7 linked regions of the Macaca fascicularis genome follow. The protein of the gene in region 5 purifies or fractionates together with the protein of the main gene of each other region. This does not show direct contact. Links are inferred from orthologs where the notes say so. Each region holds a gene or a part of one and is shown on either strand. Other genes may lie near its edges. The genes, in order: SF3B5, U2AF2, DDX46, CDC40, SNRPA1, SNRNP200 and SF3A2.

The links.
Region 1: the proteins of SNRPA1 (region 5) and SF3B5 purify together in Homo sapiens (affinity purification with mass spectrometry; 5 studies listed by BioGRID and IntAct, counting the BioPlex papers as one, with this or other methods). This does not show direct contact. The link is inferred for Macaca fascicularis from reciprocal best matches to the Homo sapiens genes SNRPA1 and SF3B5.
Region 2: the proteins of SNRPA1 (region 5) and U2AF2 fractionate together in Homo sapiens (co-fractionation; 3 studies listed by BioGRID, with this or other methods). This does not show direct contact. The link is inferred for Macaca fascicularis from reciprocal best matches to the Homo sapiens genes SNRPA1 and U2AF2.
Region 3: the proteins of SNRPA1 (region 5) and DDX46 purify together in Homo sapiens (affinity purification with mass spectrometry; 3 studies listed by BioGRID and IntAct, counting the BioPlex papers as one, with this or other methods). This does not show direct contact. The link is inferred for Macaca fascicularis from reciprocal best matches to the Homo sapiens genes SNRPA1 and DDX46.
Region 4: the proteins of SNRPA1 (region 5) and CDC40 purify together in Homo sapiens (affinity purification with mass spectrometry; 3 studies listed by BioGRID and IntAct, counting the BioPlex papers as one, with this or other methods). This does not show direct contact. The link is inferred for Macaca fascicularis from reciprocal best matches to the Homo sapiens genes SNRPA1 and CDC40.
Region 6: the proteins of SNRPA1 (region 5) and SNRNP200 fractionate together in Homo sapiens (co-fractionation; 3 studies listed by BioGRID). This does not show direct contact. The link is inferred for Macaca fascicularis from reciprocal best matches to the Homo sapiens genes SNRPA1 and SNRNP200.
Region 7: the proteins of SNRPA1 (region 5) and SF3A2 purify together in Homo sapiens (affinity purification with mass spectrometry; 8 studies listed by BioGRID and IntAct, counting the BioPlex papers as one, with this or other methods). This does not show direct contact. The link is inferred for Macaca fascicularis from reciprocal best matches to the Homo sapiens genes SNRPA1 and SF3A2.

What each region holds. Positions count from the first base shown.
Region 1 is NC_088378.1:48,298,852-48,301,730, reverse strand, and holds SF3B5 (splicing factor 3B subunit 5), read left to right. Parts: upstream 1-1,633; 5' UTR 1,634-1,709; coding exon 1,710-1,970; 3' UTR 1,971-2,319; downstream 2,320-2,879. UniProt on the Homo sapiens protein: Component of the 17S U2 SnRNP complex of the spliceosome, a large ribonucleoprotein complex that removes introns from transcribed pre-mRNAs.
Region 2 is NC_088393.1:63,612,793-63,616,522, forward strand, and holds part of U2AF2 (splicing factor U2AF 65 kDa subunit), read left to right. Parts: intron 1-1,025; exon of another isoform or gene 1,026-1,143; intron 1,144-1,371; coding exon 1,372-1,507; intron 1,508-2,344; coding exon 2,345-2,389; intron 2,390-2,683; coding exon 2,684-2,787; intron 2,788-3,150; coding exon 3,151-3,302; intron 3,303-3,730. UniProt on the Homo sapiens protein: Plays a role in pre-mRNA splicing and 3'-end processing. By recruiting PRPF19 and the PRP19C/Prp19 complex/NTC/Nineteen complex to the RNA polymerase II C-terminal domain (CTD), and thereby pre-mRNA, may couple transcription to splicing.
Region 3 is NC_088380.1:141,369,555-141,373,284, forward strand, and holds part of DDX46 (probable ATP-dependent RNA helicase DDX46), read left to right. Parts: intron 1-1,767; coding exon 1,768-1,841; intron 1,842-3,430; coding exon 3,431-3,478; 3' UTR 3,479-3,730. UniProt on the Homo sapiens protein: Component of the 17S U2 SnRNP complex of the spliceosome, a large ribonucleoprotein complex that removes introns from transcribed pre-mRNAs.
Region 4 is NC_088378.1:14,211,523-14,215,797, reverse strand, and holds the start of CDC40 (pre-mRNA-processing factor 17), read right to left. Parts: upstream 2,822-4,275; 5' UTR 2,804-2,821; coding exon 2,615-2,803; intron 1-2,614. UniProt on the Homo sapiens protein: Required for pre-mRNA splicing as component of the activated spliceosome. Plays an important role in embryonic brain development; this function does not require proline isomerization.
Region 5 is NC_088381.1:86,346,127-86,350,474, forward strand, and holds the start of SNRPA1 (U2 small nuclear ribonucleoprotein A'), read right to left. Parts: upstream 2,906-4,348; 5' UTR 2,833-2,905; coding exon 2,751-2,832; intron 332-2,750; coding exon 184-331; intron 1-183. UniProt on the Homo sapiens protein: Involved in pre-mRNA splicing as component of the spliceosome. Associated with sn-RNP U2, where it contributes to the binding of stem loop IV of U2 snRNA.
Region 6 is NC_088387.1:1,362,518-1,366,247, forward strand, and holds part of SNRNP200 (U5 small nuclear ribonucleoprotein 200 kDa helicase), read right to left. Parts: intron 3,460-3,730; coding exon 3,351-3,459; intron 1,480-3,350; coding exon 1,371-1,479; intron 922-1,370; coding exon 732-921; intron 635-731; coding exon 470-634; intron 280-469; coding exon 158-279; intron 1-157. UniProt on the Homo sapiens protein: Catalyzes the ATP-dependent unwinding of U4/U6 RNA duplices, an essential step in the assembly of a catalytically active spliceosome. Plays a role in pre-mRNA splicing as a core component of precatalytic, catalytic and postcatalytic spliceosomal complexes.
Region 7 is NC_088393.1:2,892,724-2,897,223, forward strand, and holds the start of SF3A2 (splicing factor 3A subunit 2), read left to right. Parts: upstream 1-1,605; 5' UTR 1,606-2,276; intron 2,277-4,500. Other genes in the region: PLEKHJ1 (pleckstrin homology domain-containing family J member 1), read right to left, coding at 514-580, 676-743, 908-1,001. UniProt on the Homo sapiens protein: Component of the 17S U2 SnRNP complex of the spliceosome, a large ribonucleoprotein complex that removes introns from transcribed pre-mRNAs.

The sequences.
Region 1 (2,879 bases), on a different chromosome or scaffold from region 5:
TTTATCAAATTTTTGTTTTGGATTTTTTTTTTCAAGTAGCTTCTACCCATGTAAGGAAGTTATTAAACCAAACGGTAGGATATAAAGCAATAACAAGGAAGAGATGTATAACCTGCAAAGAGGAAGGAGAGTTTACATCTGTCTGGAGCAGCCAGAGAAAACTCTAAGGAGATGCATTTGAGCTGCCTTTTTGGGAGATGTATTCACCAAGGGAACAGACATTCCACGTAGAGGGAACAGCTTGTACAAGAAAATGGGTATGGGCACAACAGGTAACACGGAGAAGTACAGTTGTCCCTCAGTATCCGTGAGTGATTTGTTCCATGACTCCCATGGATACCAAAACTAGAGGATGCTCAAGTCCCTGATATAAAATGGCTTGTATTTGCACATATGCACATTCTCCTGTATAGTTTGTCTCCAGATTATTTAACAATACCTAATACAATGTAAATGCTATGTAAATAGTTGTTATACTGTATTGTTTAGGGAATAATAACCTTAAAAAGTCTACACTTCAGTACAGACTGACTTTTTCCCCAAATATTTTCAATCGGGTCGGTTGAATCCACAAAACCCACTGAATGGAAGGGCCAAGTAGGGTGCAGTGAGGCCTTGGAGGAAGGATATCAAAATAAGTGGCTAGAGAGGAAGGAGGAGCTTGAGGTGGAAGCCGGAATGTGTGGGAATTGGTGCTGTACTTGCTCACCAAGCACCCTGGTTAGAGCTGAAATAACTCTTTTATGCCACAGACTCCTAAGAGACATAGCTGGGACCAGAACTTGTGCCTGCCGACTTCTGGGAAATCCATCCCTGGTTGTGAAGGGATGGCTGTGCTACCATGATAGCTTTGGAAAACAGGGAGAGTTTATTTTCGGGGCTGCTTGTAGTCCAGTCCTACTTGGGTTTCCCATTTCCCATCAGCCCCAAGCCACCCACGGATGCTCCCCACCTCCCAGACATCACCCTCCACTAGGTCCCCAGATCACTTTTAAAACGCGACCAGGGGCCTGGCGCAGTGGCTCACGCCTGTAATCCCAGCATTTTGGAAGTCCGAGGAGGGAGGATCACGAAATCAGGAGTTCGAGATCAGCCAGGCAAAGACAGTGAAACCCCATCTCTACTAAAAATACAAAAAAAAAAAAAAAAAAAAAAAAAAAAAAATTGGCCTGGCGTGGTGGTGTGCGCCTGTAATCCCAGCTACTGGAGAGGCTGAGGCAGGAGAATCGCGTGAACCCAGGAGGCGTTAAGTTGCAGTGAATCGAGATCGCGCCATTACACTGCAGTCCCGGTAACAGTGCGAGACTCTGTCTCAAACAACAAAACGAGACCAGGAGTTCCAGAAGCCTACGAGCACGAACTCCCAAGACCACAAGTCCCAGCATGCAAGGCTCCCTGTTGGAAAAGGGCTTCCCATAGCCACCAAGTGGACCATCATGCAAAGCTCTCTGACGGGGCGGGGCTCTCTACAGGGGCGACACACTTGTGGCGTCGCCTCGGCAACTCCAATTCCGTGACAGAATGTGCTTCCGCTTCCGCCTTTGAGCCCTATGAGCGAGACTTACGCTACTTAGTCGTCGTGACGCCATTCTTCTGCGACGGCGCGGGCCGGGAGCTTCCGCACGGTGGCCTCACTCCCGCGTGAAACGCCAGAGCGGCGATTTGTTGTCTGCGTCCTCTGTCCTGGGAACTAAGGGGAAAGCGGCGAGATGACGGACCGCTACACCATCCACAGCCAGCTGGAGCACCTGCAGTCCAAGTACATCGGCACGGGCCACGCCGACACCACCAAGTGGGAGTGGCTGGTGAACCAACACCGCGACTCGTACTGCTCCTACATGGGCCACTTCGACCTTCTCAACTACTTCGCCATTGCAGAGAATGAGAGCAAAGCGCGAGTCCGCTTCAATTTGATGGAGAAGATGCTTCAGCCTTGTGGACCGCCAGCCGACAAGCCCGAGGAGAACTGAGACTCTGCCTTACCACCACTGTGCGGGGCACCTCTCCCAGTGTTCCTCAGGTTGGCCAATCCCTTCGACTATTTCTGCCTCCAAAGGACCGGCTCTCCATGGCTCCTGCGTCTGGTACTTCCGCGTACAGAAGTGCTTGCCCGGGGAATCCCGCCTGACCTGCCTTCATGTGAACCCTTTGGAATAGCACTGGGAGACCAGCAGAACCCCTGAGAACTGTGTTGGTGAAGAGGGCCTAGAGCCGGCAAGCGTTTGAGAAGAGGGCGTGGCGCTGGAATGAGATGGGATTTGGCGTCTCATTTTTGGCTAATTGATTGTCATTGGCTTTTTCCATAAAGTTTAGAAATCATTCACTCTCTTGGTGTGAACTTCCTGTGTTAGGGTGGAGGGCTCCTGAAAGACCCGAGCGGGAAATGGGTCGGGGGAGGGAGTGCATGCCAGTGTCCATGATCAGGTACTTAAATCCACCCTGTCTACCATTATAATTAATTCCCCGACTGCCACTTCTCCCAAGAGCGTTATTTTCAGGCCCACAATGCCTTCAGTATTGAAGTTTGTGGTTATTGTATCCCATTTTCTTTTTCTCCCGTTTTAAAAGTCTTTGCAGTCTTTGCTGTCATTGTCCTCCTTAGCCTCTTTAAAATGCATCCTTTCTTTTTCTTGGGAATTTGTGGCCATGTCTCCAGAAATGACAAGCTGGCAAGTGAGTTCATCCTTTCTATATTCAACAAATATTTGTTGAGCTCTATGTGACAGGCATTTTCCCATGGTCTTGAGGCTTACATTATGCTGGTGGTGGAGAAAGGAGGTCAAACACTGTAGACGTAATAAGTAAATGTTAGAAGATGCTGCGGGGAGGGGAGAACAATGTACGTGGTGTGGGTGGGAGTAGTTGGTAGGGCCATAATC
Region 2 (3,730 bases), on a different chromosome or scaffold from region 5:
TCACCATTTCCTAGCTGTCTGGCCTTGGGCAACTGTGATCTCTCTGAACCTTAGTTTTCTACCCATTAGGTCAGCCCCCCGCAGCGTTTTTCCGAAACAGTAGTGAGGATTAAGAACAAACAAAGCTATTTAGTACAGAAGCATCTCAGTATTTGTTTCTGTTTTTTTCCCTTCTGGGTGCATATTTTTCTGAGTGTTGGTGGTTTTGGAATTGTGATGCTTTTCCAAACATTCAAATTGCATCACAAAAACATAAGACAAAACGCTGTGGGTGAGGCTAAAGTTTAACATCCTCCCTCAGTGCCTTTTCCTCCTCTTGTCCCCAGGGATGATCACTCCAGGAGATGCGTGTTAACATGAGCACCTTAACGTGTGCATCTTTTTTGTGTGAGTGCTTCGTGGCTAGTTGAGAAATCTGGGTGTCTTTGAATTAAGGAAATGGTATGGCGGTGCTCATGAACACCCTCAATGCTCATGCTTTATTCTCCATCTTAAAGGGCCGGTCGTCCTTCTTCAGGGGTTGAAGGGTCTGGTGAGAGCAGAGGTCTCTGTGGTTTTAGCAGCAAGGCTCTGTTTCTAGTGGCTACGTCAGGCAAATGCAGGGTTGAGGGAGCCGGCTGGAGGCTGGCAGAGATGCATGCCCCTACCCTACAGTACAGCCTCTCCAGCGCTTGGCTTTGAAGGGAGTGAGGCCGGGAGAATCAAGTGGTTTGGGATTCAAGTCTGGATGGGGCAAGCTCCTCCCCTGTCCTGCTGAAGGAGAGGAGGGCCTCTTTCCCCTTCAGTCTGCGGATTCTCTGAGGCCCTTCCCTTCCCCTGGGGAAGGGTGCTTGCTTCTGCATTATTCACTGGCTTGGGAAGGGATGGGTTGAGTTTCCCTGCTTCCTGGGGACATCAGATCCTGCCTGGCACCTGACCCCCAGGCCTGATGGTGGGGCTGTGGGTGCCAGCTGGTTGCAGAGGTCTTTCCTGAGGGGTCGCTGGGTCCCTTCAGGAAAACATCATTGGGTCTCTTGATTCCCCAGCCTCTAGCCCTGCCCCTCTCAGGGACGACCCTGGGGTCAGGCCCCTCAGCCCTCGAGGGGACCAGGAGCCAGCCTCCTCTGTCTTCTCTGGCTCCCAGCTCCTCCTGAGCATCCTCAGGTATCTCACACCCCGGGGGCATTTCCAGGCCCCGTCCCCCTGGTCCCCTCGTGGTCCCTGGACTCGCTTGTGGACCCAGGAGGCCTGTTAATTCCCTTCCTCCATTGGATCCCTTCCCTTTGGGGGTGGCCTCCCTGGGGCTGGGGACATAGCCACCAGCGCGCAGGGTGGGCTGGGTCCGCAGCCTTACTCCGCTCATCCCTTGCCCCTCCTCTCACCCTTGCCCAGAGAGGGACAAGGAGAACCGGCATAGGAAGCGCAGCCACAGCCGCTCTCGAAGCCGGGACCGCAAACGCCGGAGCCGGAGCCGTGACCGGCGCAACCGGGACCAGCGGAGCGCCTCCCGGGACAGGCGGCGACGAAGGTACTAGGACTCAGGGATCCTCCTGGGGCAGCCTGGGAGTCGGGGGGTTGGTGTTGGCCGTCCTGTGGGTGGCCTGTGCGTGTCTGTCTGGGCCCGGGCCCTGTGTGGCTCGTTTGTTCTTCGTATGCATCTGGGGGAGGGATCTACTGCTTGGTCTGTCTTGAATTCCGATTTTTTTCCCCTCTTTCTGGGGTTTCTTTCATTTTCTCTTGGTGGTTGCTGGTGGGTTGCTGGGGGCAGTAGGTTCTTTATCTGGAGCCTGGGAATTGATTCTGTGTTTTCCTTCACAAGGGGCTGTTCTCTGTCTCTGACTCTGAGGGCCTGTTCCTTCTTTTCGACTCTCTGTGGCTCTCTGTGGGACTCTCTTCGAGGGGGTTGGTCTCTGCCTCCAGTTTCTTTCTTCCCTGCCTCCCAGGAGAAGGGAGCTCTTGGGACTGAGGCAGTATCCACAGCCTGGGCTTACTTTCTGGCCCAGGGGTGTTGGTTTCCACCGCCTCTTCCCTTCTAGGCTTCCCTCTCTGTTCTCTGCCCCCTTAGGTGAGGAAGGGCAGGATAGGCGGAAGTCCTCCTGCCTCCTCCCAGCTCAGTTTCTCCAGCTAGAGACCGGTCCTTCTTGGCCCCTGGCCCCTGGCCCCTTTCTCCTTTCCTCACTTCCTCTTTCCTGGGGGTTGGGAGTGTTTGGGGGGAAATAGCAGGGCCGAGGGGGGCCTGCTTGCTGCTTGTTCACCTCGGCCCTGCTCCCGCCCTGGGGCTCAGTGCCCTTGGGGGGGTGTGGCATGTGGGGAAGACGAGGGTCCCCAGTCACCCCTCCCCATACCTTTCCCTCCCACCCCCCAGCAAACCTTTGACCAGAGGCGCTAAAGAGGAGCACGGTGGACTGATGTGAGCTTCTCTTCCTGCCCCTTCCTCCCTGATGTCCACTCCCTTCACCTTCCTCACGCCCGTGCACCCTGTCCCGCCCGTTTCCAGCCCTGGCCCAAGCACTGGGAAGAGTCCACTTACCTTGAAACCAGCACCCCTCCCCCAGGCCCTGCCCCAGACCCTCTCCTTCCCTGGAGAGAGTGGAGCTTACATGGTTGGGGGGAGGGTGAAAGGGTGCCTGGGAGGGGGCTTGCAGGCCCCCTGTTAGTCAGACTGAGGTTGCCCTGCCCCGCTCTCCCCTCCCACCTCCCCCAGTCGTTCCCCCCGCCATGAGAAGAAGAAGAAGGTCCGTAAATACTGGGACGTGCCACCTCCGGGCTTTGAGCACATCACCCCAATGCAGTACAAGGCCATGCAAGGTAGGGCCCTGACCGGGCTGCTCCCAGAGCGAGAGGGTGCAGGGGCTGGGATTCTCCGTCAGTCATTCCCCTGCGTGTGTGCGTGGAGGGGGTCGAGGACACAGGTGGAGGGTTGCACACCCTTGGGAGGTCTGGTCTCTGTGCTTTTGAGGCCTCCCTCTGGACGCCATTAGGAAGTGAGGCTTCTTAGGAGTAGCAGTTACAGGGTGGGGGTCCCGAGGTGGAAAGAGGATTCTGGAAGGTGCTAGGGCCGAGAGCCTGTAGGAGCTTTTTGCCGAGGAGGGGAACTCCCAGCGTGTGGTGGGGGGAGGTCACTGAACACTCCCCTGATGGGGTTTTATCCTGCTTTTACCCCCTTTGAAGCTGCGGGTCAGATTCCAGCCACTGCTCTTCTCCCCACCATGACCCCTGACGGTCTGGCTGTGACCCCAACGCCGGTGCCCGTGGTTGGGAGCCAGATGACTAGACAAGCCCGGCGCCTCTACGTGGGCAACATCCCCTTTGGCATCACTGAGGTACTGCCCTCCCCCTGCCCTCCCCTCTCCCTTGTCCCCTACCCCATTCCTCCCCTTCCCTCCATTCCCTTTCCCCAACCTGCACGGGTCAGACTCTGCTCCTGCAAGCCCCCCCGGCCCCCTCCCAGACGGACCGATGGAGTTGAGCCAGCCAGGGGCCGGGCTGGGGGTGGCCCTCCCTCCCTCCTCTTCCCTCTCCCGTCTCCCCTCCCCCCAACCTCCTCCAGCAACCCAGGGATCAAGCACACACATAATGTACCCACGTGTTGTACCTACGTGTCGGAGAGAGACAGAGAGGGAGACTTGGACACACACACACACACACACAGACGCACGCTGCCCCTCAGTTTTTTTCTGACACGCCTCTCCTTCTCTGCCGCCTGTCCCCCATCCTCTCCCCCACGTCCCTCCCATGGTCGCTGTTCTTT
Region 3 (3,730 bases), on a different chromosome or scaffold from region 5:
TTAAAGTTGCACAAAAGTATCAACAAACTTCACACCAACTCGTACCAAGCAATGTGTTTTCCTCCTAAATTTCATTTTTTGTTGTAATTTTCAGTCTGACTTGGGTCTTGATTCTTCCGTTTCTTTTCCCTTCTGGCACTCACCTTCCCCACATAGTTTTATAATGTTGTGGTTCGTGGCTAGTGGAGGTAGAGGATTTAAATTAGATATGTTGCTATGACTTCATAGCCATAGCCTTGATTCTTTCCTTCCTGTCGTGAAACTGTTTCTGCCTCTCTTTCTGTCTCTGTCTCTGTCTCTCTCTCGGGACAGAAAAGTTACTTATTTCTAATACGGGGGGAAATTTTCTAATTTATTATAAATCTTTCCCTCATTTGTGTTTTTTAATATACAAAATGATAAAAATATAGCTCTCTACATTGCAGACCCAGTGCTCCTTTTGTTCTTAGACATTTCAGTCTTTAGTTTTCTTTGATTAAGCTCTTTTTCTCTTCTCAGCGTGCAATGTGGTGCCTATCTGTACTTTCCTACTCACTGGCATTGTCTATTGGCTCCAGATTCTACCCAGCCTACCCTTGATGGCTCTCTGATCTCTGCCACTTCTAAACTTCTAGTCCATATTTCCATTGACCTCATTTATATTTTCAACTGGATGTCCAATGAGCACCTCAACTACAGCAATTTTAGAATTAAATTTCACCCAGTATCACTATCCAAAAAACACTTGTTTTTCCTCCTGGAATCAATATATTCTTTTATTACTTCTACCTTTTTTCACTTGCCAGCCAGCTCTTAATATCTTGTTTCTCTTTTCCACTGTTCACATCCCATCAGAAAAAATATCTTGTCCATTCTACCTCAAAAATGTGCTCTTGTGATGGTATAAATACAATATTGTGAGAACACTAAAGAAGAAAACACTTAACTGCCTCGAAGAGTCAGGAAAAGCTTCCTAAAAATGGTATTTAAAAGTGAATTTAGTAAACTACTTCCTATTCATCCTGTTGTAATGTCTTTACAAGTTTGTTTTGCTAATCTGTATGCTTTTAAAGAGCATGAATTTGTTCTTTATATATTAAATCTCTCACAGTATGTGAGAGGCAAGTGCTTAATTTTTGTGAAATTAATAACTGTGAATGAATGTCTGCAGCCTGCCTCATCTAGTCAGCTATTTTGCCGTGTTCTTTCACACATTTTTCCAACCAGGCTACACTTCTCTTACTCTTCAGCAATTAAGCATGCTTGTCTTAACTCTGTACCACTACATATGTAATTCTCCTTGCAAAATACTCTTCCTGGTATCTTTCCTCCCTCCAAGTGGCTAGTCCTCCTTTCATTTTAAAGATTTTGTTCGTACGTCACCCTTCTGAAACATTTGCAGACTTCAGTGTAAATAATAAATGTCTAATAAATACTTGCTAAATGAATAAACCAAGGAAGTTATATTTCCCTGTAGCCTTCTCTTACTATCTTCTGGACAAATCGCTAATAGTCTTTTTATTCCACTCTTTTTAGTTACCATACTAGGAACTCTTAACACATAATATGACCTCAGTGGTTACATTTGAAACTCTGAAAGTAATCAAAATCATAAGCAGCCATTATATAATGTGGGTAATGTTCCACCAGGCATTAAATGGCCATCTTGGCAGGCAGTACAATGTTTCTAAAAGTCACCTACAGTGTTTCTTCCTGGACCTCCATGATATGGGTAAACACAGTGTAATTTTAGTAATGTGAATAAGATGCTTTCCACTCAATCACCAGGTGCCAATGAACTGGCTGTGCAGAAAGCAAAGGCAGAAATCACCAGGCTCATAAAAGAAGAGCTGATCCGGCTGGTGAGTGAAAACCTTAAAGTTTCATTTGTTTTGTTTTAATAAGTGTTTTATTGAAATATAAATACAGACAAGTACGCAAATCATAAACATATAGTTTGATGAATTTTCACAAAGTAATAAGCATACCAGTGTAATCACTACCCAGATCAAGAAATAAAAAACATTACTAATATCCCAGAAGTCTTCTCCGTGTCCATTCTTATCACTATTCATCTCCCCGCAACAAAACTGTACCTTGAATTTTTTTTTTTTTTTTTTTTTGAGACGGAGTCTTGCCCTGTCATCTGAGCTGAAGTGCAATGGCGCGATCTCGGCTCACTGCAACCTCCGCCTCACCCTCCTAAGTAGCTGGGATTACAGGTGCCTGCCACCACACCTGGCTAATATTTTGTATTTTTAGTAGAGACGGGGTTTCACTATGTTGGCAAGGCTGGTCTCGAACTCCTGACCTCATGATTCACCTGCCTCGGCCTCCCAGAGTGCTGGGATTACAGGCGTGAGCCACCGTGCCCAGCCCCATATTGTGAATTTTAAAATCATAGATTAGTTTTCCTTATTTTTGAACTCCACATAAGTGGAATCACGTGTTTGCACCTTTTGCATCTAGTTTCCTTCAATCAACATTTTGAGGAGATCGGTCCGTGTTATTGCATGTAGCAATAATTCACTCATTTTCATGGCCATATAATATTTATATGAATGTATAACAGTTGATTTATATTTATATATTGGATTTGAGGGCTATTCCTTTTTTGTTTTTATGAATAACACTTCTGTGAACATTATTCCATGTGCATTTGGAATATATTAGCATGATTTTTTCTTGGGTATATACCTTGGAGTAGAATTGTTAATTATAGGCTAGGTATTGCCAGATAGTTTTCCAAAGAGGTTACATCAATTCACACTTAATCAAGCAGTGTATGAAAATTACAGTTGTTCTACATCTTTGCCAACACATGGTGTTGTCAGTGTCTTTAAACTTAAACAATGACTTAATTTGATTTTGGAAAAAGCCCTTTACAGACTGCCTTTGCAGTGGAGGTAGATATGTCCTTGTGTCTTTAGTGCCGGTTGCAGCTTATGAACACTCCCTACAGTGTGTACATTTCCTTTGAAAGGAAACGTCTTTTCTCTAAGTGTACTTCTGAGAGCTTTTCTAAAACTCCCCTCAGAGAGCATTCCTTTTTTTGGCGGGGGGGTTAGAAGTTTAATGAAAAGAGGGTTCAGAAAACAAGAGGGAAAAAGTAAAACAGCTGTTCAATCACGTGCTTAAGACTATTTCAACAAGGAGTGATAGAAAAGAATCTTGTGCCCATAGATGCTACCACCATTAAGTTGATTTCAAAACATAGTTGTTAAGGAATAGTTAAGTGAACAGAGAAATCATTAGTTATTGAATAGTTTTTCCTTTCTCAGTGCAGTAATATTAACATTTAAAATTTTAAATAACCAATAGTTTTACAAGTTAGCAAAAGAAATGATCTTAAATATTTCCCTTTTGGGTTTGTTTGGTTGGTTGGTTGGTTTTTTGTTGTTGTTGTTTGTTTTGCTTTCTCTGATGACATATCTTTTATTTCCTATTACAGCAAAATTCATACCAACCAACAAATAAAGGAAGATACAAAGTCTTATAGACATCCGGAAAAAAGATTTTTACCTCTGCTGGTCTATGATAGATGTGGCAGTTGCAGTCTGCAGTTTACAATGTATTGTAAATTAAGATTTTTAAAAATTCTGTCTTGCTGATTTTTTTTAAATACAAGAAACTAGTATTTGGTAAAGAAATCTGTCCGTAAGTACCCCCACAATCAATCAAACTATATTTAAAGCCGGCCTGTTTTCAGAGTGTGATGTCCTTTAATGTAAACTTAAATATCAATATTTTA
Region 4 (4,275 bases), on a different chromosome or scaffold from region 5:
GTCTCTGGACCCCAGGGTCTCACAGTCCAGGGCAAAGAAAAAGATGAACAAGTCACGGCAATGTGCTAAGTGCTATAGTTAAGATATGATAAAGGGGCTAAGGTAGAATAGGAGGAAACGCGCAGTGAGACTGAAGGACCATAGTGTTTGGAATGGGGGAAGGAGGCACTAGGCAAGGGATTTCCAGGCAGAAAGACTAGCGTGGGCAAAATCTTCAGAGGAAGAAAGAAAATTTGGCTTTCAGGGCTTTGTAAAGAGTTCAGCATGGGAGAATAGCAGCCCTCACATGCTACCAAAAAAACTTAGAAATTACCCACTGGACAATATGGTGTCTTTGGGCAGGGAAGTGATAGGACGCAAGTGGAATTTACAAAGATCATTCTAGGTGCCCTGTGGAGAAAAGAATGGGGTATAACACTGGGAGACAAGAAAGGAAGAAGTAGAAATATCAGTTAGAAAGCTACAACTGTCTGAAGAGAAATGATGAGAATCTGAACTAAGCAGTGGCAGCAGAAGAGAGAGATTTGATGAATATCATTGAGTTAAAGTGGACAGGACCCACTATCCAAAAGAAGAGGCTGAAAGAGAAAGAAAAGAATAACTCCTGGGAGAAATAAGGAAGATATGAAGCCTGCACCAGTGAAAATAGTGAGGAAGGAGTTGATATGAGATAAATTAATGAAACAGAAATGTTAGAATCAATTGAATGACTAGCTTCAGGGGCTGAGGCAGAAGGAAGAGAAAAGGATACCTCCTTTGTTCTTGGCTTGAACTAGTGGGTGGATCGTGGGATCATAGATCAAAATGGGGAAAACAGAAATGGATTTTGAGGGAAAGAAAATAATTTTTCAACACATTGAACTGGAGGTGGCTGAGTGCCAACCTGCAAGAAACAAATGTACAATTACAGTGGGAGATTTTTATATACCTCTCAAGGTTGTAAGCTAGCAAGGAGGATAGAACTGGAAATAAAAGGATAGCAAGCATGTGGCACTGTTAAAAGGGCTTTACATCTTTTATGGCAATTCTTATAATTCTGTTAGATCGGTACTACTGTTATTCCTACTTTACAGATCAGTAAAAATTAGGTGCTGAGCATTTAAGCAACTTATCCAAGGTCCCCAGGTGGGTAAGTGCTGGAGGCAGGATTTGAATTACAGTCTTAATTCCAGAGCCTGTGCTAACCATTTCACGGTGTTCACCTTGAGCTAGGGGCAGCACAGACTGAGGTTGAAGGTATGGAAGAATATGTGGAATGCAAAGAGGACCAAGAGCAGAGTCCTGGGAAACACCAGTATTGAAAAGGGAGAGTAAAATAATTGGAACAGAATGCTGAGTAGAGCCCCATGGAAGCGAAACGGAGAGAAAGTTTCAAGAAAGAGGAACTAATGAACAGTGTCATTTGATGCAGACATTTAAGTCAGATGGCTGAACTTGACAACTGCAAGGCCTGGGACATCACTCACAGACAGTTTCCCAAGAGGGTAGGGCCAGACTGCATCGGGTTGAGGAGAAAATGAGATGAAGACAAAAAGAGAGCTCCAAAAAGCTGAGCTGTGAAAGGAGAAGACTCAGGAGGTTACTGGAGGGGCGTAAGTTTGGAAAGTTTTGTTTTGATAGGAAGTTAGGATTCTAAGCATTCTTTCATGCCAGATGCCCATTTTTAAAAAGTAAAATTCACAGACAGCTTGTTAAAAATCTGTAAAACACTTCTTAAGTCATTAAACTAGACTTAGGGACATGATACAAAGGAATTTTTGGACACCGCCTCCCATCTTCACATCTTGAGCTGATCACCTACCTCGGGCTCTACTGGGCCTACACTATCAATTGGTAGATGCTCTCATCAGGCTCTAGACACATCAGCTTTTCCTCAGTTCTTCAAACACACTAAGCTCTTTGCCTTCTCAGGCTTGCCTGTCACCTTTGCCTGGAAACTCTTGCCTGAATCAGCTTCCTCCATTGAGATCATGCAGCTGTTTCTCAAATCCAAGGCCTTTTTCTCACTGTATTAACATACATAATCATAAAACATTTACTGCACTCTCACTAGTTACCAGGCTCTGTGCTATATGCTTTATTTGTGTAATTTCACTCAATTTTCACACTCATCTTCTCATGTAGACAGGTGTTTTGAAAATGATCTCTGCTTGTACAGGTGAGGAAAGAGAGGAGGCTGCATAACTTGCCCAAGTTCACATAAGTGGTGGTGCCAGGATTAGAACCCAGTTTTTCAAAAATAAAACAAATCGAGGCCACTGCTCACTTCAAGTGAAGGTACAATACTCTAGTTTGGGAAGTCCTGATCTAATTTTATTTATGTTCCGAGATTACATCTGCACTTTACAGGCTATGTCCCTAATTCACAAATTCAAATTTCACCCCCTCTTTCCACTTGCTTTCTGATGGCGGGAGGTAAGGGCAGAGAGCATCGGAGGGCTATTCCGAACTTCCAATTCTGCTTCTCCCGAGGATGCATGTGGGAAGGAGAAGAAATTCAAACGTTAGCAACTTATCTCTGAGCAATGAGGTAAGCCGGGACCTAACAAGCGGCTGGCAGTTTTAGAGCTGAAGCCAACAATTCCCACACCGCATCAGTAGCAAAGGTGCTTACCTTAACTGCCACCTCCGGAGCCGAGTCCACTGCCACTGCTAGAGACGGCTTGGCTGAAGGCGATTTAGTCAAGTGCATGAGGGAGTCGGCGGCTGGCAGCGGACATCGACTGCTCTCACTGTCCGAGTCAGATTCGGACCCTGAACCCGAACCGTAGGAAGCGGCCAGAGCTGCAATCGCAGCCGACATGACGGCAACAAATCTTCTGCGGGGACCCTGTCAGGGCGGAAGAAGAGGAGGCTCCCAGGTCCTGACAGATTGCCATGGAACCCATCATTAACTTTCTTTGCTAAGAAATAATTTCTTACATTTTAAAACAACAAGCTAATTATTATTAGAATAACTACTGTCGAAATGAGAGCTTAAAAAAGTTTATCTAGGGAAAAAGAGAGAATTATAATAGCTTATAACTTTCAGGACCTAGTTGACTAAAGAATACGAGTTCCAAAATACCTTGAGGCCTCGCGGTCCTGCACTCCCAGCGTGCAGCGCGGCAGGAAGCACCAGAGGGCACAATGGGAAGTGTAGTTTGGAACGAGGGGGCGGGACGGGGGCGGGTCCCTCCTTGACCCCGCCCCCGAATGGATGTTCCATTCAATTGGCTGTCATCTTCCCTCATTCCCGAGCCAAGCACTGTTCTCTCCGTCCCCCTCCCCCAAACTGAGGATTGGGCAATACCACAGAACCTCAGGAAAGGGGGGAAGAGCGAGCTTCGGCCCCACCGATGGAGGAGTGGGCGGAGGCTGGGTTTCCCACCTCGACTGCACCTGGGCACTCGAGGGTGAAGAGGAAAGTGAGAATCTGAAGTTTTGAGACCTCTGACTGGCCGGGAATAGCTCCTGGGGCAGGGGGCAAGGATGGGACCATAGCCGGAGAGAGTCCCGCGGTCCCCCCTGCTTCTGGCGCGGGTCCCTGCGTCCGGTTGTGGAGCGTCTCGCGCGGGGAGGGGGCGGGGGGAGCGGCAGCTCGCGGTGTTGTTCACTCGCGCGTCGAGCACACGGTGGGTCCGGCGGCCGGTGGGCGCCCCAGGCGGCGTTCCCAGTGGCCTGGCGCCTCGGCCGCTGTCCTGAGCGGGTTCCGCCCCAGAGCCCGACCCTCCTGGGAGCCCTAGGTGGAGTCCCGCGAGCCGAGGGGGACCGGCGACCGCTGCCGAAGCATGAAGAAGGGGTAAGCGAGAGCCCCCAAGATTTCACGGTGAGCGCGAGTCCCTGAGGAATTGCTTTTTTCGGGGAGGGGGTGCTGGGAGAGGAACTCTTCCTCACCGGCCGGAGCAGACCGAGGGGTGTGTGGCCCGCATAGGTGACGGGGATGGATGGGCGCGCCTCCCCCGCCCCGGCCCCCACCCCCATCCGCGGGTTTCCCGAGCGCCCACCGCCCACCCGCCAGCCGGGCTGGGTGCCGAGGGAGACGGCGGCGGGCGCGCCCGGGGTTCGGCTGCAGGGACCGCCCCGGGGCTGCTTTCGCCGGAGAGACTGCGGGTCTCACCTGAGGTGCCACCGCCCGGGCTTCCCTGCCCACCCGCGCCCACGGTCCGCCCGGTGCCTCTTTCCGGGGGAGGCGGTAGCCCCGGGCGACAGAGAAACCTCTGCTCGCTCTACGTGCCTGGAGCTTAGTAAAGCCGGCTCGTGCGTTTGCGTGTTTGCTCCGCGAGTCGGTGTCTA
Region 5 (4,348 bases):
ATTTTAAGAAAAAACATGTATTGAACGTGGCTTCCATTATGGAAAAAATATTTTTTAAAAATATAAAAATTAAATTTAAAAAACCATGTAGGTTTAACCGGTAGTACGTGCTACAACTTCTTCAGGGAACACTGCAACATTTACCCTAGGGGGAAAAAATTACTTTCCCCTATAGGCACTTACCATATTCTGTTGTTGTTCACTAACAATGTTTTCAGTCTTCTCAACAAAGGAAAACCATCCAGTTTCCTGATCTCATTGTCAGAAAAATCAATAGCATCAAACTGGTCTAATGTAGCACCTAGATTTTCAATGACGGGAATTTTATACCCTGTAAAATGGAGGAAAAAAAACACACAAGAGGTATTAATATAACTAAACAGCCCCTTAAAACATTAGCAGTATTTCATAGTATCTGATTCCAGGCTTTGATTTATTCAGGAAGCATTACCTAGCACCTATGCCATGTCATACATGCCTTGCCACTGTACAAGATACTAGAGAGAAAATGCTGAACGAGTCTCAAGTACCCAGTGCCATGAAGCTTACAATCTAATGACAACAAGGACAAGAACAATAATAATGGGTGATATAGGTAGCTAACATTTATAAGAACATTTACAAGGTGCCTCACACTGTTCTAAGTCATTTGGGCTAGTTAAGCGGAATCCGCACAACAGGAATTTACACTTTGAGCTGCTTAGTCTCAGTGCCCAAACAGCGTTCAAACATTGTGGATAACAGTTCTCCACTCTTGCATCTCCACGGGCCAGATTCTTAGAACCCATCAGAACAGCCTCAAGATATGACAGTTCTCCCTCCCCTCCCCCAGCTACAATTTAGAGTTGAAGAACTCAATGGTTTACATAGAGTAATAAACCTGTGAACACTCAAATGTTAATTTGTCCAATTTGAGCATAATTACTGTGTTAGGCACTATAAGAAAAGAAATATTCTGAAGAAGCAAGGTCTACTAAAAAAGAATTCACCCAAAGTTAAAGGGCACAATTCAGAGCTATACTACACGTATTGCATCAAAATACGTATTCTCAATATTGCACGTACTCCATAAAGAGAAATGGCAGAGATCATCAAAAGTGGTGAGTTGGGCCGGGCGCAATGGCTCAAGCCTGTAATCCCAGCACTTTGGGAGACCGCGGCGGACGGATCACCTGAGGTCGGGAGTTCGAGACCACCCTGACCAACATGGAGAAACCCTGTCTTTACTAAAAATACAAAATTAGCTGGGCGTGATGGCGCAGGCCTGTAATCCCAGCTACTCGGGAGGTTGAGGCAGGAGAATCGCTTGAACCCGGGAGGCAGAGGTTGCAGTGAGCTGACATCGCGCCATTGCACTCTAGCCTGGGCAACAACAGCGAAACTCCGTCTCAAAAAAAAAAAAAAAAAAAAAAAAGTGGTGAGTTGCTCTTGAACTGAACCTTTCTCTAACAAACTTAATTTCAACAAAATAAAAATACTGGGGGCCGAGCGCAGTGGTTCACGTCTTAATCCCAGCACTCTGGGAGGCCGGCGGAGGCGGATCACCTGAGGTCAGGAATTCGAGACTAGCCTGACCAACATGGCGAAACCCCGTCTCTACTAAAAATACAAAAATCAGCCAGGCGTGGTGGCTCACGCCTGTAATCCCAACAACTCGGGAGGCTTGAGGCACAGGAATCACTTGAACCGGGGAGGTGGAGGTTGCAGTGAGGCGAGACCACACCACTGCACGCCAGCTGGGGTGAAAGAGCGAGACTCCATCACATCACAACACAACACAACACAACACAACACAACGGGATTTCCCAAAGGTCAGCAAGAAATCTAAGCAGAACACAACACATAACACACCACAACGGGATTTCCCAAAGGTCAGCAAGAAATCTAAGCAGAACACAACACACAACACACCACAACGGGATTTCCCAAAGGTCAGCAAGAAATCTAAGCAGATCCCGCAGCGATGCTGCTCCAAAGCCATAGGTCCCCGTGGGAACAAATCTCAGGCTACGGCTGCATGGTCTTATCCCCAGAGAAGTTGCTCTTCACATCCTTTTTAAAGTCGTCTCCTGAAATGCCAACTAGCTAGCTGCCCTCCCAATATCTTACCAAGTCTTGCTAAGGTTGAAATAGTACAGGAATCTGAATAATTGCGAGCGCTTCCACAACTTACACACAGCACAGGGCGGTGCAAACCTGGGTCACACAGTTCAATTTTTAAAACGTCTTCATAAAGGGGAAACGCCAGACAAAGCTACTAAGTAGAAAATACTAGGGGAAACAATCGCTGTTGTTCGGGGACTTGGTTTACTCCCTCACATTAGGAACAACGAACACATATCCCATCTACGCTCAAAATATCGTCTGGCGGCAAGTATTAAGAACCAATCACTCGCCCTGCACTAGCGTTACAAACATTAACGAGCCGCTCTTCCGGGCCCTCAAACAGAGCCAACTGCGAAACAGCCAAGCAAGGCCTAATAGAGCCCCACGAGTATGCACCAGGAAGTAATGAAGTCACTCGTGCCTGTCAAGAGGCACGGCGGTAAGAGAAGGCTCCAAGAGCCTAACGGGATGCTCATTTGGCAACAACGGCAAGAATCAGGCCCCGCGTTCCCTGCGCAGCCCGGTCGGAGCCCAGACAACCGGCCCGCGGGCCAAGCTCCGGCCTTCGGTGCACGCGGCAGAGCGCGGATAATAAGGCGACGCGGTGCCGCCCGGGGGCTGGCCGCCCACGCCCTCGGACTCACCTCGGAGGTCCAGCTCCCGGTCGCGCACCGCGTTGGTGTACTGCGCCGCCTGCTCGATCAGCTCCGCCGTCAGCTTGACCATCCTGCTGCCTCCCGTCTCCTCGCGCCGTGGAAAGCCCGTGGCCTCCCGCCAGCGAGACGTCCCAGCGTGCCCCGCGCCCCACCGCCAGGCAGCACCAATCGCAGCCGCCGAGTGCGCGCGCAGCTCGCCCGCCAGGCCGAAGCAATCGAAGAGCCACGCCTTCGGGGTCGTTCTTGCCGGAAGTCTTGCCGGGCGCGCAGGGGCTGTGTCTGGTTCTGGGTTCTTTCCTGGGGTGTGTTTGGAGTCTGGAGAACCTATGATTCCAGACGTTGGTGTTTAAAAGTTAAGGCGAATGTGGAAACATCCGAGGGGAACTTTTTCATGCATTAGCGCACCTTGAGGTGGGACGGGAAGCTGTGACTGCTCTCCCTCCACCAGCCGGCGCGGGGACCCGTGGGGTTCAGTGAAGGGTCCAGGAGTTCAGGTACCCGTCCTGGGCCTGGGCCTTGGCTCCGGGTTACAGTGTGAGATCCCGGGCTAGGTGGCCCGCCTGGGGCAGGTCGCCGGGACAACCCCACAGCTCCGCAAGTCCAACCTGGCCTAGGGCATGGTAGGGTTTGCGGTTAAGCTTGTGGCCTTTAGACTTCTGAATATTCATATGAAGTATGATATACAGAAAAGTGTGCATATGATGAATTTACAGCGTGATTAATGACCAGAGTGAACACAACTGCTTAGCCGACACCGAGATCCAAAAAACCACTATTCTGAAAGCCTTCCTCTTTCCCAAAGGCAACCGCGAACTCAACACTACAGATTCGTTTTGCTTGCTTTTGATATAAATAGAATCATGCAGTATGCTTTTTTTGGCCTAGTTTCTTTGAGTCTATATTATGTCTGGAGTCCATCCAGGTTGCCTACAGAGATGGTTTGTTTGCTTTCGCTGCTGAAGAGAGTTCCATCGTATATATTATACCATAAATTACTTATTCTGCTGTTGATGGACATCAAAGTTGTTTTCTGTTTAGGGCTATTCTGAGTAATGCTGCTATGAATTTTCTGGTACGTGGATCTGATGCACATTTGCATGAGTTTTTCCTGGAGTGGAATTGCTGGGACATAAGGTATGATATCTATCATCAATAAGTAATGCCCAACAGTTATACTAAGAGGCTGAAATAATATACACACTCCAGCGGTGTGTAAGGGTTTTCATGGCTTCCAGCTTCAGCCTTGTTTGCATTTTAAGTCTATAACTTTAGCTATTCTGATGGGTGTGTGGTGGTATTGCACTACTGCTTTGCTTTTCTCTAATAACTAATGAAGCTGAGAACTTTCTCATGTGTATGGTGCCCATTCTGATAGCTTCCTTTGTGTTCTTTCGAGTCCTTGGCTCATTTTTTTCCTTATGGAGTTGTCTGCCTTTTTTCTTATTGATTCTTGGAATTTCTTTATATATTAGGGATATGAACACACGCTGTGGCTTGCCTTTTCACTCTTAATGGTGTTTGATTAGAATTTTTTTTTTTTTTTTAAGACAGGGTCTCGCTTTGTCACCTAGGCCAGAGTGCAGTGG
Region 6 (3,730 bases), on a different chromosome or scaffold from region 5:
GGATGGAGATGAGTGTGAGGGAGGTATGGAGGGGAGGACATATGGTGGGGGTCGGGGGATGCATAAGGGGGTGTTGGTGGCAGGGACGCCATGTGCTCTGGGCACACAGGCAGAGTTCGTTGTTCCCAGGACGTTCTCCTGAAGCTGCCGTCCTCACCTGCCTCAGCAGGTTGTCTTCATGGTGCCGGATGGGAATGTTCTCGTACTCTGCCGCATTGGAGATGATCTCGATGAGCCCTCGCACCTTGGTCTTGGCATTGAGGGACATGCTGAAGAGCTCTGACAGAAAAAGGACATTTGAGAGAAGCCGAAAGCAAGCGGAGAAGGAGCAGAACTGCCTGGGCTGCCCTGCTCTCCCCTGCAGTGTCATCCCGCTGACGGACACGGGCAGACCTCTCATCCCAGTGGGCTCCTGACCCCTGTGTGAGAAGGCTCCTACAGACAGGACCCGGGCCGTGCCGGGCCTCACCAATGGTGGTGTAGTTGATGTAATAGTAGGCAGCGATCATGCCCAGGTTCAGAGGTGCCACATCCATCTCGTCCTCGATGCTGATGCACTTGGACTGCTCCAGGTCACTCAGGGTCTGCTCCACCAGCTCTGACAAGTGGTCGGACAAGTGACGATGGGAGATGCCTATGGAGGTGAGAGGTGAGTGGGGAGCCTTGAGAAAACGCCCAGCAAAGGCTGTGGGAAGCACCAAAGAATCACGTGTGCTCCCAAGCCCACTGACCCTGCAGGTTGTAGTAATTGGGGTTCTGTGTCATGCGGCGGTACAGAAAGGTCCAGGTGAGGTAGTCCACAGCGTCCTGCTTGTTCTCAATGGTCTTGGTGACGATCTCAGCATTGAAGTGGTCATGCATACAGTGGTCCAGATGAGACTCCACTGGCAATGGCTCATATAAGAACTTCTTGAAGAAATCCTGTGGGTTGGAGAAGCAGCAGCATTAATCAAGAATTAGTGACAACATGGTCACAAAGGGCCAAGGGCAAATCAACAGGGCATGGTCCCCGTGCAAGACCTAACTAATACCAAAATGGAAGAAGCTACAGGTTTAGAAAGTGCGTCACTGGCGACAATACGCAGTGGGAACAGAGGCACAGCAAGTCACAAGGGCAGAGCAGCGGGCAGCCCAGTGAGGAAGGAGGGAACCAACTAGCGGGCAAAGCCCTCAACACGTGGAGCCAACGGCAGCAGCAAAAGCAAAAGGCAGCAAAATTCCAAACGGGTGGCAGGCTCGTTACAAAAGAATTGTGTAAATAAGAGAGACAGAAGTTAAGAGACTAAAATTACTGAAGACGTCTATCAAAAGGATTAAAGAATCCATTCTGAGGCTCTGGATCCAAGAGGCTGCATGAATCCAGGACTGACCTTCTTGGAGCCCTGACACATGATGACGCAGCGTCCCTCATCATCCTGCAAAGGGCGGTTGGCGTGACCCACCATCTGAAGCACGTCATAGATGGGGTAATCCACATAGCTGGTGACAGATGCGGGGAAAGAAGGAAAAGCCGCCTCAACACGGAGACCACGCTCAGGAGGCCCGACTCCCTTCGCCAATTAACAGTAAAATGTAAATACGGGGAGGCATGGTCAAATCACAGCACGACTCTGTTTATGAATCTCTGCACTTAGAACTGGCTTCACTGGCTGGCCTCTACATCATTTTAGCATTCAGTGTAAGGGCCATGAATTTGCTGCTCAAGTGCCATGAACCAAGCTACAAAACTATCTAATGCCAAAACCAAAATAACTTCCTATTCGAGGATCAAATATGTAAGTCAAACTTCCCAAACTTTTCTCCTTTAATTAAAAAAATTATTTATTTGTTTGTTTGTTTTTTGATAGAGCATCTTGCTCTACTGTCCATGCTGGAGTGCAGTGGCACAGCCACGGCTCACTGCAGCCTTGACCTCCTAGGCTCAAGGGATCCTCGCACTTCAGCCACCACAGGTGCGCACCGCCGCACTTTCCAAACTTCACAGCTGTGCATTTCATGAGTCATCAAGTCACCTGACTTTAACCCAACCTAGAAGCAGCCTCAAACATTAAAAATGAACCCGTAAATAAAATTCACTTCAAACTAATCCGCATTTCGGGAAAAAGTTATTAAGCATTGGGCCAGGCACCATAACTCACGCCTGTAATCCCGGCACTTTGGGTGGGTGAATCATTTGAGCTCAGGAGTTCAAGACCAGCCTGGGCAACACGGTGAAAACCCATCTATACAAAAAAAAAAAAAAAAAAAAAAAAAGCAAAAGTTAGCTGAGAGTGGCAGCACATGCTGGTAGTCCCAGCTACTTGGGAGACTGAGGCAGGATGATTGCTTGAGCCTGGGAGGCAGAGGCTGTAGTGGGCCGAGATCATACCACTGCATTCCAGCCTAAATGACAGAACAAGATTGTCTCAAAAAAAAAAAAAAAAAAAAAAAAAAAAAAGCAGATGTTTTTCTGAGAATGATTGACTCTTCTAACTTTTTTTTTTTTTTTTTTGAGATGAAGTCTCGCTCTGTTGCTCAGACTGGAGTGCAGTGGCGCGAGCTCGGCTCACTGCAACCTCCCCCTCCCGGGTTCAAGCGATTCTCCTGCTCAGCCTCCCAAGTAGCTGGGATTACAGGCGCGTGTCACCACACCTGGCCTTTTTTTTTTTTTGAGATGGAATCTCACTCTGTTGCCCAGGCTAGAATGCAATGGCACAATCTTGGCTCACTGCAACCTCTGCCTCCCAGGTTCAACTGATTCTCCTGCCTCAGCCTCCTGAGTAGCTGGAAGCACAAGCACGTGCCACCACGCTCAGCTAATTTTTATACTTTTAGTAGAGACGGGGTTTCACCGTGTTGGCCAGGCTGGTCTGGAACTCCTGACCTCAAGTGATCCGCCTGCCTCAGCCTCCCAAAGTGCTGGGATTACAGGCATGAGCCACCGCGCTCAGCACTCTTCTAGCTTCTTGTCAATCCGCCTGCCTCAGCCTCCCAAAGTGCTGGGATTACAGGCATGAGCCACCGCGCTCAGCACTCTTCTAGCTTCTTGTCACTATATAGGTGTATGACCTTGACCAAGTCGCTTTTCCTAATCTACAAGATGTTTGAGGTTAATGACCTAATGTCAAACATTCCTCCTGGCGCTAACTGCCTACCTCTCCCAACTGCGGAATGTGGAAGCACAATGACTAAAAAACAAATGTGAGCCTAGGTATTGAGACACAAAACTCCTAAATACTTGGCTCTGGTGGCATCTCAGCTGTTAACTTCCCTAACACCTTTCCTTCATCCTAGCTTGCTTTCTGTGTGTCTGCAGATTCACACTCATTTTAGGAAGATCTGGGCTAACACAGACCACCAGCTGTACTCACGCGTGGATCTTGCCATTGTAGTACTGGGTGTCCATGATGATTACCAGGTGGGCAGCCACGTTCATGCCCCAGCAGAGACTCCGAGAAGCCACCACCACCTGGATAGCCCCTGAGCAGAAAAGGGGAGAGAAGGCTGAGGACAGGGGTCTCTGGGTGAAGCAGGTTCACTACCTCATGGGCAGGCCGTGGCTTACCCTGTGTTACGTTTCAGAACTCACAGCAAGGCGGGCTAGGAACAAGGTCTAACATGAATGAGAGGTAACACATTGCTATGAGATAGCTCCACGCTGCTGGTGCCTTGCTCTGGGACTATCCAGGAGAAAACAAGTCATCATAGAACAGAACCCAAAGCCCAGGAACACCAAGGCATAACTACTGCT
Region 7 (4,500 bases), on a different chromosome or scaffold from region 5:
CCTTCATCTAGGACTTCTGGCCTCCAGAACTGTATAGAATGTTTCTGATATCTAAGCCACCCGACCTGTGAAATTTTGACAGCCACTCTGGCAAACCAGCAGGGACTCCATCTTTCCCCGCAGAAGGGAATCTCTTAAGACCCAGGAGAACACCCCCCTCTCACTCCCCCTACCCCCACCTAATGCTAGACCCATGCTAGTTGTGGCAGTTGGGAAACGCTTTGGGTGGGGCTGGCCCAGCCTCTCTGTGAGTACAGCCTGGGCCCACAGGGAAGAAAGAGCAGAATCTGGAAGGAACCCAAGCTTAAGTGGACTTGGCAGGTGGGCGGGATGGTGCCCGCCAGGAGAACCTGACCTTGAGCTGCCCGTGGACAATGCATTCTTATGTCTGGGGAGGGTGGCGCCAGGCTGGGGACATAGAGGAGGCCTTGAGCGCCTGGGGAGGGGACAGTTGCAGCGCTGCTGGTGCCCCGGGCTGCGGGAGGCGCCGCTGGCTTCCCTAGCCCCACTCACTGATAGAGAAGGCGCCGGGCTCTTCCCGGATGACTCTGCACCGCTCCAGCAGCAGGGCTCCGACGGGCTGGAGGAGACACGGGCGCCGGGACGGAGCAGTGAGCACCCGGCCTCCGCGGGGCCCCAGCCTGGGACCCGCCCGCGCGCCCTCGACGCCCCTACCTCGGCCTCGTCTGTCCGGAAGTAGAAGAGGAAATTCACCACCAGCTTCACCAGCCGCCGCTTCAGCACTGCGGGCACAGCGCGCGCTCAGGGGCGCAGGCAGCCCCCGCCCGGACCCCGGCCTCCCGCACCCGGCGCCCCGACCCGGAATCCGGCCTCCGGCACCCGCGCCCGGACTGCGGCCCCAGCCTTCCGCCCCTGGCACTGTCCCGGTCTCCCGGGTCCCGCTCACCGCTGCCCTTCTTGGGGCCCCTCATGCCCAGCTCGGCCGCCATCTCGGCCGGCTGCCGGGACAGCGCCTGCAGCTCCTTCTCGTTGTACCGCATGGCTTCGCGGGGAACGGGAACCTGGACCGCGCCCTCCCGGCCGCCGTCCCCGTTCACGCCGGGGCCGGCGCCAAAAAGGTCTCAGGGCGCAGACACGGAAGCACCGCCGGGGCTAGTGCGCCTGCGCACTTTGGGCCGGCCATGCCGCCAGTCTCCAGTGCGTGGCGCTGGCGACCTGGGGCGGGGGGCGGGGGGGCGGTGCACGAGTTGGTAGCGGAGACGGACAGTCGTTACATAACCATTAAATTGAAATAAACCAGACAAAGGTGGAACAGCATCAAGGCACCCCCGCGATGGCTGGCACCCCTTCCTAGAGCGGCCAGGCGCAGGCGGAGGGAGCGATAACGTCTCCCGAAGAATGTCAGCCGCCCCTCGCGAAAGTTAGCCCAGCGCGGCCGCAGCGAACCAAGGGTTCGTTGGGGGCGTTGTGCGCACGCGCGGTTTGCCTTCCAGGCCGGGCGTTCAGCCCCGCCCCCTCCAGCCCTTTCCCTCGCGCCTCCTGACCCTCTGACTTGCGCCGCTGGGCGGGCCGGGCATGCGCACACCAGAGGGCCCGCCCCATTTGCCCCGGAAGTGCTTTCTTTGACCGCGACGCGCGTGCGCCGAACGAAGTCGTGGCGGTGGCGGATCGAGGAGATAACGCGCCCTCAGGCTCTGGTGAGGAGTGGAGCCGGTTGAGGGTGGCGGCCGACTCGGACCGGGGGTTCCCTGGGGAAGAGCGGACGTAGGAGAGAGGAGCTTGCGACAGGCCGCAGGCCGAGGGGCGGGCGGCGGCGTCGCTCCCCTCCCTCCTCCCGTGAGCGTCCGGCCTTGTGCATCCTGTAGGTCCCGCGTTGGGCGGGCCCGGAGGGTCGGGCCCCCTCGGAACTCTATTTCCAAACTCCTGTTGGGAGGCCGCGCGCGGGGGCTCACGCCTGTAATCTCACCGCTCAGGGAGGGCTTGGCGGGAGGATCGCTTGAGGCCAGGAGTTCGAGACCAGGCTGGACAACACAGCGAGACCCCATCTCTACAAAAAAATTTTAAAAATTAGCCAGGAGTGGTGGTTGTACCTGTAGCCCCAGCTACTCGAGAGGATCGCTTGATCCCGGAATGTCGAGGCTGCAGTGAGCCATGATCGCAATTGCACTCCAGCCTGGGCAACAGAGCAAGACCCTGTTTCACAAAATGAAAAAGAAACAACTAAGACTCGTTGGGATCAGATCGGGATCGCGGCTGAAATGGTTTGGGCCTCCTTCCTTGTAGCCGAGAACGCTTCTGCATGCTAATCTATACCTGTGAGTTCACTGGGGCTCTGTGATGTAACTCCTGTAAGCGTCATTCCCCTTAAAACGGGAGTGACAGCTTCAACACCATGCCAAAGGGGACCAGAAAACGTTAGCTGGCCCCATTTTGCAGGTGCACATGGCTGTGACCGTTGTTCGTGTGTATCCTTGGAGAACACCAAACAGCCAGGGGGAGCTTTGGAAAAGAGGTTGTTTGCTGGGTTTAACGAGAGAACGGTGTTGCCACCAAAAACTAATTCCTTCCCGCTGGTCCAGCCCCAGGTCTCGGAGGCCACCTTTCCTCAATTCTTAAGTTCATTTCCCCTGGTCGTCGTCGGTTTTTTGTCTCTCTGTTTGTTTTGAGACAGTGTCTTGCTCTGTCACCCAGGATGGAGTGAGTGCAGTGGTGCCATCACAGCTTACTGCAGCCTCGAACTCCCATGCTCAAGCCGTCCTCCTGCCTCAACCTCCCAAGTCGCTGGGACCACAGGTGCTCACCACCATGCCCGGCTAATTTTTGTATTTTTTGTAGAGACGGAGTTTGGCCATGTTGCCCAGGCTGGTCTCGAACTCTTGACCTCAGGTGATCCTTCCCCCCCCCACCCCCCCACAGCCTCCCAAAGTGGTAGGATTACAGGCATTAGCCACTACACCCGGCTCTTTTTTCTATTTTTTTGTAGAGATGGGGTTTTTCCACTCTGTTCCCTGATCTTTACTTTAGTAAATAACATACTTCTTCCTGGATTTATCAATTTGTAGACATCATCTGCTGATTTCCTGTCACGGCTGTTGAGATTTTCTCCCTCCTATCCACCCACTGCACCTTCGCCTTCCATATCCTGAATGAGTTTCTGTCGTGAGCACAGTTGGTCATTGGTTGTATTTTTTAAATAAGATGCAAAATGTTGTTGGCTGCTCAGGGCCGGGCGCAGTGGCTCACGCCTATAATCCCAGCACTTTGGGAGGCCAAGGCAGGTGGATCACGAGGTCAGGAGATTGAGACCACCCTGGCTAACATGGTGAAACCCCGTCTCTACTAAAAATACAAAAATTCAGCCAGGTGTGGTGGCGGGCACCTGTAGTCCCAGCTACTCGGGAGGCTGAGGCAGGAGAATGGCGTGAACCCAGGAGGCGGAGCTTGCAGTGAGCTGAGATCACGCCACTGCACTCCAGCTTGGGAGACACAGCGAGATTCCATCTCAAAAAAATATATGTATATGGCCGGGCGCGGTGGCTCACGCCTGTAATCCCAGCACTTTGGGAGGCCGAGGCGGGCGGATCACAAGGTCAGGAGATCGAGACCACGGTGAAACCCCGTCTCTACTAAAAATACAAAAAATTAGCCGGGCGCGGTTTTGGGCGCCTGTAGTCCCAGCTACTCGGGAGGCTGAGGCAGGAGAATGGCGTGAACCCGGGAGGCGGAGCTTGCAGTGAGCCGAGATCGCACCACTGCACTCCAGCCTGGGCGACAGAGCGAGACTCCGTCTCAAAAAAAAAAAATATATATATATATATGTATATATGTATATATGTATATATATGTATATATGTGTATATATGTATATATATGTATATATATGTGTATATATGTATATATATACACACACACACACACATACACACATGTATATGTATATATATTTAGTTGGCTGCTAAAACAAGTAATGTGTTCAACTGGGCTTTTGTTGTAGCATTCTATTTTCCCTTAAAGCTAATTAACTTTGTTTTTACCATTAGCCTTTCTTTTCCCTACTGTTTGTTTATTTCCCCACAAAGCTCCAGCATCTCACACCTATCAGTTGTGTTTTGCACAGGTTTAAATGAATTGATCTCCCCCTCCCCACTGCCCTCCAAGACTCCCGTATCCTCCTCCTCCAAATGGGACTGATTGTGCTCTGCCTGGGTGGAGCTGGTGTCCCAAACCTTCCTGTCCTTGCTGCCCTGTGCTGACCTCTGTTCCCAGTGTGGCCATCTTTTCCTCTTCCTGCTGTCAGAGCAGAACTTCTGGGAGCTTTGGAAGAAATAGATGATTTTTTTCGGGGATGGGGGAAGTCTTTGATTGCCTGAAAATGAGTTTATTTACCCTCATAGTTAGAAGTTTGGTGGGGTATAAAAATCTAGATTGAAAATCCATATTTGGCCGGGCGCGGTGGCTCAAGCCTGTAATCCCAGCACTTTGGGAGGCCGAGATGGGCGGATCACAAGGTCAGGAGATCGAGACCATCCTGGCTAACAC